Linked DNA regions of Macaca fascicularis. The protein of the gene in region 1 interacts with the protein of each later gene in a pairwise test. Links are inferred from orthologs where the notes say so. Each region holds a gene or a part of one and is shown in the gene's direction. Other genes may lie near its edges.

Region 1 (4,890 bases):
ACCCTAGATGAGTCACTCCCCTCCCCGGGCCTACACTCATCCCACATCCCCATGATACAACATAAAGCGGTCCACTCCAGTCTCCAATCTCTCCCAGATTTCTGTTGCTGGGACTGTGACTTGCCCAGGGACCTGCTGGACAGGAGCTAGGGCAGGGTGCAGAAGCCCATCCTTCTGCCCCCACTCTGAGCCCAACCCTGCTGTGAATCCCCAGGAGGGGGAGCGAGGCTGGAGGGATTAGGGAAGGGCCAGTGAGTGGGGCTGGGGAAACTTCTAGAGTTGAACACTTCCAGGACCCCAGTAGCCACAGCGGCATTGATAGCAGGAGGCAGCACTGCCCAGATGCTGGGCTGAGTGGGCACCAAGGCCAGAGAGCTGCTTATCAGCCATCATAGCCGCCCCGAGCCTGCACAGCTCACTGCCCCACAGAAATGTCTTTCTCCTGTGGCCAGAGTGGCCCTAAGCTCCTCGGGGTTCCTAGGACCTGTCACAGCTTCTGGGACCCCAACACATGAGTGTGCAAAGACCTGTTCTCCTCAAAGTGTAAATAATACTGTAAGGAAGGGCTGATATTCATTGACCACCTACTGTGGACCAGGCGCTGCTCTGAGCACTTGACATACATTGTTTCATTCAATCCAAACCCCAATCCACTAGGTCAGTTTTATTCTTCCCATTTTACAGAGAAAGACAAGAAAGGTTAAGTCACATAGATGGAACAGGCTGATGCCAGAATGGACACCCTCAGCTTCCTCAGCCGCGCCCAGGTTGACTCCATCACCGAGGGCCAGGGTCCCAGTGCCCCCAGGCTCTAGGAGCTGCTATTTGGCTGGGGCTCCCAGGAGAAGGTGAAGCTTAATGATTTATGGGTGATTAGCTGCAAGAATGCAAACGCAGAAGACACAAACCTTTATGCCCTGGAAATCTGTCACAAGCCAACCAGTTGTTTTCCATCCCTGTGAAGCAGGAGTAATTGGAGGTCTGACAGAAGAACTTCCCAGTTACCAGAAGGAGCAGCACTCACACACTCTTAGTTTTGTGTGAGGTATTGCCCCTGCCTTGGTCAACAGTTCGAGTCAGAGAGAGGGGCACTGGGCACAATCCCCACCAGAGGTTCCCATTCACAAGACCCCGTGGGGGCTGGGAGAGGCCCTGGGGCAGCAGCCCTGGGGTAACCAAGGGAACAAACACGGAAAACCAGGGACGTCAGTCCTTATCTGGAGCTCATTAAATGGGGAACATCAGTCAGCTGTGAAGGCTAAGATAGGGTGATAGGCACGTGGGTGGGCTGGGATGGGGCATGGGGGCAGAGGCCGCCATGGAGAAGAGGTATTGGCCTCAACGACTCCACCTCCCCACCACGTGCCCAGATCCAGGATGGAAGTACCCTATAAATGCCCACAACCCAGCCTCCCCAGAGGCCTTGAGAAAGAGAGCGGTAGAGAGCGAAAGAGAGTGCCCAGAGCCTCCTGGCCCTGAGACGGCCGGGCCAGCCACGCAGGACTCCGCAGCATGTGGGAGCTCCGCTCCATAGCCTTCTCCAGGGCTGTGTTTGCAGAGTTCCTGGCCACACTCCTCTTCGTCTTCTTTGGCCTCGGCTCGGCCCTCAACTGGCCACAGGCCCTGCCCTCTGTGCTACAGATCGCCATGGCATTTGGCTTGGGTATTGGCACCCTGGTACAGGCTCTGGGCCACATAAGCGGGGCCCACATCAATCCAGCCGTGACTGTGGCCTGCCTGGTGGGCTGCCATGTCTCCTTTCTCCGAGCCACCTTCTACGTGGCTGCCCAGCTGCTGGGGGCTGTGGCCGGAGCCGCTCTGCTCCATGAGATCACGCCAGCAGACATCCGCGGGGACCTGGCTGTCAATGCTGTAAGTAGCCACAACTTTGCCATCCACAAGGGGCAGATCCTGGGGAATCCCTTGTAAGGGATGAGATGGGAGGGATGGGCTCTGGGTGAGGTGGGGAGAGAGATGGAGACAGAGGCAGACAGACAGAGAGAGACAGAGCCTGGAGTCAGGAACATAGCCACCATAGGAGGGTCAGGATGAAAGGAGCAATGGTACCAGAGCAAAGGCAGGATGCAGACAGACTGCAGGCTTCTTCCACCCTGACCGTCGTGCAGGAAAAGCCTCATCTGGGTTTCTGTTGGACTCAATGCCTCCGTTATAGTGAGGACCAGGCTGTAACTCAGCAGGGGTTAGTGTCCCAAGCAGACATGCTTTCCAAGCTGTGGGGAGCCTTGGAGTGCTCATGACAGGGTCCTCAAGAGAGAAGAGGGGCCCAGCCTTTCTTCTGCTTTGAGGGTTTGCAGGCCCTATGGCAGGTGCTCCTTACAGGTCAGGCTCAGACACACCATAGCCCTACAAGCAGCAATGGGCATACTTCCTTCTCCAAACCCTGACGAGGTCCCCGGAGCCCATAAGCTGGCTGCTGATTACATGATACAGGTGCTAACTGGGCCCCGTGGGCCCTTCGGGAGCTGAGGGTGGTGCCACAGTCCCTTCCCCCATGTCCCACCCCCTTCCCCTCTCAGGTCTGTGTGGGCCCTGTGAATCCAAGAGACATGAGTGTGGAGGAACGACCTGTGCTCCCAACAGACCAACTCTCACTCTGTACCCCCATCCTAAGCCAGGACAGCAAGTGCCTCTTTTGTGCCTCAGTCTCCAGTATTTCCTGGCCTGTTCCATCCCTGGGCCACTGGACAAGAGTCCTGATGTCTCTGACAAGTCCTGCACAATCTCTGTGGCCACCCGCGTCTCTGCACAGGTAGCCCTTCCTCATTTGTGGGACAGGGGTATCCCAGTTAGGGAACTTCTCTGTTTTGTTTTGTTTTTGAGATGGAGTCTCATTCTGTTGCCCAGGCTGGAGTACAATGGTACAATCTCAGCTCACTGCAACCTCCACCTCAAGTCATTCGCTTGCCTCAGCCTCCCGAGTAGCTGGGATTACAGGCATGTGCCACCATACCCAGCTAATTTTTGTATTTTTAGTAGAGACAGGGTTCACCATGTTGGTAAGGCTGGTTTCGAACTCCTAACCTCAAGTGATCCACCCGTCTCCACCTCCCAAAGTGCTAGGATTACAGGTATGAGCCACCACACCAAGGCTCTGTTCTTTAAAGATGAAATTGTGACAAGGTTGGGGGCCAGGGGCCAAGGACAGGCTAGGTGGGCAAGCAGAGGAGTGGGCTCTTTTCCTCTGAGAACAAAATTAGTTCAGTTTACAGCAAGAAGAGGTCCAGTTAGACTGAAAAAGGAACTTCCTGAGAGCATGACCAGGAAGTTCTTCTGTAATAGCAGGGCACTGGGAGTGAGAGGCCATGGGAAACATGCAGTCCTCCTCCTCCATCATTTCACAACTGACTGGGGCCCTCAGAAGAGAAAGGTCTGGGAGGACTCCTCCATGCCACTTCTCAGCATTTACTACCTTGAGGACCTGGGGAGAACCCTGCCTGGATGTAATGGGGCAGTGGTGGGACCAACTTGCCCTGAGGCTAAAGAGAGCCAGATGATCCTCAAGACCATCCCATGTGTCCTTTGAGGACACTAAGAGCTAGCCTGGCCACCAGGAATTTAATCATTGACATGCACCTGCCCTGTGCCAGGCCAGCTATCATCTCATCATTGGTACAATGCTATAAGGGAAATTCTGTGGTTCCCCCCTATTGTGAGTGGCAAATTGAGGCTCAATAGTGAATTGATCCAAGTCACAGAACCAATAAGTCATTTCCAGTCCCCCCACCATCCTCCAGAATCCATTTTGTTATCCCATTTCGCAGAAGGAGAAACTGAGGCCAAATTAAATAGTCTCATGGCAAGTCAGAGGCCTCTAAAGTGTCTGCTTCCAAAGCTCTTTTCACTGTCCTCTAGAGACTCTGCATTGGACAACAACAGGAGGGATTGAGGTTAGACCCTAGAGAGACCCAAGGGTTCTGACCTGATGTCTCGGACCCAGGGGTGGGGGTTCAGGGCCTGGAGAAAGAGCGTGGGAGCTGAGAGCTGTCACTGTTCCACCCAGCATGGTGCCCAGTCCCAGAAGGCAGGGCGTAGGGCACAGGGTGACAAAACCCAAGGAGAAATCCAGTGCTGGGTGTGGCCCAGTTATGAAATCACCTCTTTACTCAGCCCCGAGTTCTCTCCTTACCCAAGGCAGGGTCTGCTGAGACCATGGGCAACCTACATGGGTGTGGAGGCATTGTCCGACACAGCTCCGGGGCCCTCACCCCAACCTCCATAGGATGTGCAGGGAGCAAACCAACAGGGCAAAGCTGAGGCCTGAAAGGCAGTGGAGAATAGACAAGAGTTAAGGAAAAAGGTGTATGGCGGACTCATAGCAGAAAGGGGCACACTAGGACCATCCCCTAGACCCAAGTCCTGTCCCTGGGAGCCATTTGACCTCAGGAAGACAGACCACGGGCCTCTCATTGCACCAGGGTCTGATGGTCTAGAGAGAGGGGAAGGTCTTCCTGCTAACCAGTCCAAAGCTTCCTGAGGCCGTTGAAACCTCTTCCGTTCTTGTTCTTCAGGAAACAGAAATTCTGGATCTCAGCATCCTTTTTCTCTCACACTGAAGGATCCCAACCTCACCCCCCAATCTAATGGGCTACAGAGTCAGTTTTCCTACCTCTGGCAGGGAAACCACGGGCATCCTGGGGGATCATGGGCTGCCTTTGGGCCAGGGCCCAAGAAGAAGGGATCAGTTGTTCCAGCTAAGGTGTCTGGCAAGCCCAGGTGTTCTGGTTCCCAGCCCAGAGGCCCCCCTGGTGCCTTGACTGCAGGTGGACAGGAAGATGGAGCCAGAGAGGAGAGTGTGCTCAGTGTTCCCCTACCTGCCTCTTTGTCCCCAGCTCAGCAACAGCACGACAGCTGGCCAGGCGGTGACTGTGG
Region 2 (4,869 bases), on another chromosome or scaffold:
TAGCCAGGTGTGTTGGCTCATTCCTGTAATCCCAGATACTCGGGAGGCTTAGGCAGGAGAATCGCTTGAACCCGGGAGGCGGAGGTTGCAGTAAGCCAAGATCGCGCCATTGCACTCCAGCCTGGGCAACAAGAGCAAAAACTCCGTCTCAAAAAAAAAAAAAAAAAACCTTGAAAATATTTATTTAGACTCTATGACAAGCACTCTGACAAGATGCCATCATGTTTCCCGTAAAATAAATTCAACAATGAACCGAAAGATGAATATATTCTCTTGAATCAAAGGTCCATATAAATGGTTGGGGGGGAGGGGGGAATGCCCTTCCACTCTTAAAAATTATTCTTCCTTACTAAAAATCACAAACTTTGATATGACTCTCAAATAGACAATAAAATTGGAAAATTTCCAACACTGCATTTCTAACTTAAAATATTTTTTCCAAAGTAAAAAAGTACATGGTCGTTTTGTGTGTCAGAAGAAGAAATAGGAACTACAAATAAAGAAAAGGAATATGTTTAAATGACCATAATCCCATTACTCAGCGATAATTACTTGCTGTCAATCCTTCTTAACTTTTCCATACATTCATAAATACGATGAGACTGTAAATCAGACAAAAAACAAAAAAACCGACCCCGATAATGATCTTCGGCGCAATGGGCAATGTCTAACGACTTCAATGGCTTTCTTCAGGGGATTCTCAAGGGGGATTTCTTGATCTTTCCCAAAATGTTGGAAAGTCCTTTAAGTTTAAACAAAACCTCTAAACGGGAAGGGATGCCAACCTTTCCTAGGCTGCCTGCAGAGCGGGGAGAAACAGGTCGATCGGAAGATTAAAGACATTCGCCTAAGAACACTCCTCGCCCTAAAGGAATCTGCTTCTCAGCCCCAACCCCAGCTCACCCCAATTCCACGGAGGTCCGCAGATGCTCCCCCCTGAAAGGACAGGACCACTCGGCTGCCGCGAATCAACGCGGCGCGCCCGGAAGCCAACAGCTACTCCCCGGCTCTGAGCGGGAAGTGCGGCGGCCAGCTGCAGCCTGGACCCGGGAACGCTCCTCCCTAGGGTAGGGATGCGCGCTGGCGCAGGCTTTTACCTGTCTCATCTTCCCATGGTTCGGGGCGAGTAGGCGTGGACCGCGCTCTGCGCCTACCTCCCTCTTCCTTCCCCAGCAAGGCTCAGGGCAGCCGCCGACGGCGCTTCCCCGGTTACTACAACAACCAACAAGCAACCGCCCGCTGGGAGCCACTGCGCAGGCGCTGATAACGCTCAGCTGCGGACGCGGGCGAATGTCGTCACCGCCGCGCAGCGCGGGCGCAGAGCCCTGGCCTCGGCAGAAAGTCTTTTTTTTTTTTTCCGCTGTTTTTTTCTCCGCCCCTAAGAGGTTGACTCCAAACCCGGAGTTCCGCTAGGTCCAACAGGAGGGTTTACGGCGTGAGCGGCGTACCTGGGGAGAGGCTTAGGCAGCGGCAACCGCTGATTGGCAGTAAAGGGGTTCACTCCCCATCTCCTGCTCGGGCAAAACCAGGACAGCCAATCAGAGAGAGGACTAAAGGAAAGGACCCAATCCTGGAGCAGGGCTGAGGGAGGGGGTGGGGACAAATGGCTCAGGTGGACTCCGGGCTGGAGCTGTCCTGGGGGAGCTTGTTTGCGGCGGCTGCTGCTGCCACTGCTGTGCTGGGGGTCCGGTCGCCAGGTAAGGAGAATATGGGGGAGAAGAGGGATGTAGGTGTCTGTGTTGCTTCTGATTGAGAGGATCGGAGAATCTGGAAAAATAGAGGTGAGATGGAAGGAAGATACCTGGAAGGCAACCTTTTGGGGGGAAAAGGGTTCGAGAGGCGATGACAAGGGGGAGCTAGGAAGATGGAGAAGGCTGGTGAATTCAAGGAAAGAAGGAATGGATGAGCGAATGAGCAGCCACTATAAGCCTAGCACTGTACAAACAGCCTTCACTTTTTCTCATATGATTCTTACAATAACCCTTCGGGTTGATATTTCTATCTCCATTTTGCAGATGAGGAAACCGAGACTGAAAAGTGTAAATGACTTGCCCAGGGTCACACAGCTACTAAGTGGTAGGGCCAAGATAAGAATCCCTCTCTCCTGATTAAGTTTTAACAGCACACCTATGCTGGGCTGGGCTGGGTTGGGCTTGGCTGGGCTGGGCCAGGGCCAGGACAAAATTTGGAAATAGATGTTATAAACACTCTAGGAGGCCCTAAAGCTTTAGGGAAATTAGGTTGAGAAATTGGCAGAGCAATTCAGAAGTACTCAGGTTCTGTCCTCATCAGCTATCTGTTGGGATTCCTAAGAGCTTCTGTGAAATGGAAGGCGTACTTGTGCAGAAAAGTGGAGAGGTGCATTCATGCAGCTTTTCTAAACCCCGGAGGAGTCTCCTCTTGAGAGAGGGTGAGAAAATAAAGAGGATAGGTGGATCTTGGCCCAAGTGATAATGGCCTATGATATCCAGTAGACTCTCAGTCTCTGACAGAGACCACCTTTGTGATCAGCTCTCCCTGAAGGGTTCATCAATTCACCCTTCCTTCTCTAGATCTCTTTATTGCTTTTTTTTTGGGGGGGGGGGGAGGGTGTTTCACACTGTCTTGGACCATTGCTGACTTTAATATCTATCTCACTGGGTAGCATAGAACAATACCGAAATTTATATTGCCAAAGTGACAAAGAAAGCCTGTTAGTTTATTACCACTTCAGGCCCAAGAGGTTAACCTGACAACAGATAAACCATAGACTGAGAAAATAGTGATGAGGATGGGAAAAAGCCATTCCATTATTAGATTATTTATCTATTTTGGTTTTATTTAAATCAGACTAACTGAAATTACTACTCAACAAGAGTTGATCTAAGCCTTAAAAAAATAAAAGTCTGGGTGCTGTAGCTCACACCTGTAATCCCAGCACTTTGGGAGGCGAGGCCAAGGTGAGTGGATCACTTGAGCCCAAGTGGAGAGGTTGAGGTGGGAAGATCACTTAAGCCTTTGATTTCGAGGCTGCAATGAGCCATGACCACGCCACTGCACTCCAGCCTGTGTGACAGAGCAAGACCCTGTCTCAAAATAATAATAATAATAATAAATTAAAAAATAAAAAGTATGTAATCTAATTGTATTTTCTATACAACTTGAAGACAGAAGAGGATATGGTATGCTTTTCTTAATCAAAAAATGGGAACTTCATTAAAGTAGTCTCAAACAGTGAGGTAGCACTGCAGCAGTCCAACAGACCATGATTCTTATCTCGGCTCTGCTGACTTTGCTGTGTGACCTTAAGAAACTTGTTTAACCTCTCCGTTCCAACCCTCATCTGTAAGATGGAAATATTAATAGTGCCTGCCTACCTCATTGTGAAGATTAAATGGTAATATGTGTTAGGTGCTTGGCACAGTTCATGGTGTAAGTGAACTGTGACCTATTATTATCTTGCAGCCCAACACCAAGATTGCTGTTTCCTTCACTATATAATTTTCTTACTAGTCCTAAAGTCACACGTTAACTTAAACAGGCACAATTTATAAATTTGGAAAAAGAAAAGAGGCTTTATCTCTTGCAAAGGGTTACAGCCACCCAACAGGGAAGAGTGCCTCCCACTAAGATCAGAGACAGGTGCTTTGAAGGAGAAGGGTTTGGGGTAGAGCTTTATGCTGAACAGGTTGGCTAAACATACATGTTCAACAGCTTACAGGAGGAACTATGAATATTCCTGAAGGTGGTCCTGACACGTGCATATTGAACAATCATGTGTAACCACATATGACCCCTGTTCACTTTGGAGTAGAGACCTAACATTTAAGTCTATCACGCCTAGGCTCTATGCGTCAAAAAGTCTTTTCAGGACACCAAGACACTCAAGTGTGTGATCTTGCTAAACTGGCCAGGAGCAGTCCACGGTTGGTGGTCTTATCTGGAGAAAGTTACTAAAATCAGTCTCTTGTCCAATCAAAGGTGTAGTTATAGCTGGTGGAATAGGGGTCATGTAGTCAGCCTCTGTGAGCTGGATGAGCTGTAATTGTTTTAATATTGCTTATCTCAAGCCAGTGCTTGTCTAGCTGCTGGAGAAAAAAAACCTTGTGGCAGAATATAAGTTTTATTCTTTAAATGTGGGAGTGTGTGACTTAACCCTTGCCTGGCATGGCCTTAGGTCTTGTTTATAATTTGGTACCTTATTGCACAAAGAATCTGTTCTGTCATTCTTATGATCTCTATTTTAACTTTAATGCTGGTAAGTTGCTGTCTCTAAACCTGAAAAAGGAAGGGATATAGCAGGGCATGTGAGACCTCCCATCTCGTCATGGCCAGGGGCTCAGTTTTAGGATTTTTCTGGGTTCCCCTAGGCCAAGAGGGCCTCTGTTCAGTCCGTGGTGGGCTTAGGATTTTATTTTGAGTTAACACACAGCAGTTTATTTTTAACTTTTAGATTGTTCTTCTAGTTTATGGAGCATGGTATACCTGAGAACCAGAGTCCAGAAAACCTAGGGATGTAAATAGTGACCTCACACCGTAAGTCCCACTCAAATGTATAAAGTTCCATAGGCTTGGAAGAATCTGTCATCAATAGCCTGGCAGGTGTCTGTGAGTATAGTTATAATCACCTTTGAGCTACTTGCATTACAAAGGAATGGCATGAAAACGTGAAGGTATAGAAGTAAAGATAGAGGACTGATTCCAACCCAGAAAAAGGAGCTCTGATTTAGGGTAATATTTTGCAGAAATTGCTTAGACAAAGACAAGTATTATGCCACTTATTGCAAAGTATACTGTTCATTCACCACTATTAGTGTGACTAAATATCTTTTTTTGGCCTGCTTCATTCTTCCTCCCTTCCTGCTTATGGTTGACATAGACTGGCCCTCA

Evidence for each region.
Region 2: the proteins of AQP2 (region 1) and ERG28 interact in binary tests that used the Homo sapiens proteins (3 or more experiments, as listed by UniProt). The link is inferred for Macaca fascicularis from reciprocal best matches to the Homo sapiens genes AQP2 and ERG28.

What each region holds. Positions count from the first base shown.
Region 1 is NC_088385.1:56,778,780-56,783,669, forward strand, and holds the start of AQP2 (aquaporin-2), read left to right. Parts: upstream 1-1,417; 5' UTR 1,418-1,512; coding exon 1,513-1,872; intron 1,873-4,850; coding exon 4,851-4,890. UniProt on the Homo sapiens protein: Forms a water-specific channel that provides the plasma membranes of renal collecting duct with high permeability to water, thereby permitting water to move in the direction of an osmotic gradient. Plays an essential role in renal water homeostasis.
Region 2 is NC_088381.1:143,622,969-143,627,837, reverse strand, and holds the start of ERG28 (ergosterol biosynthetic protein 28 homolog), read left to right. Parts: upstream 1-1,595; 5' UTR 1,596-1,697; intron 1,698-4,869.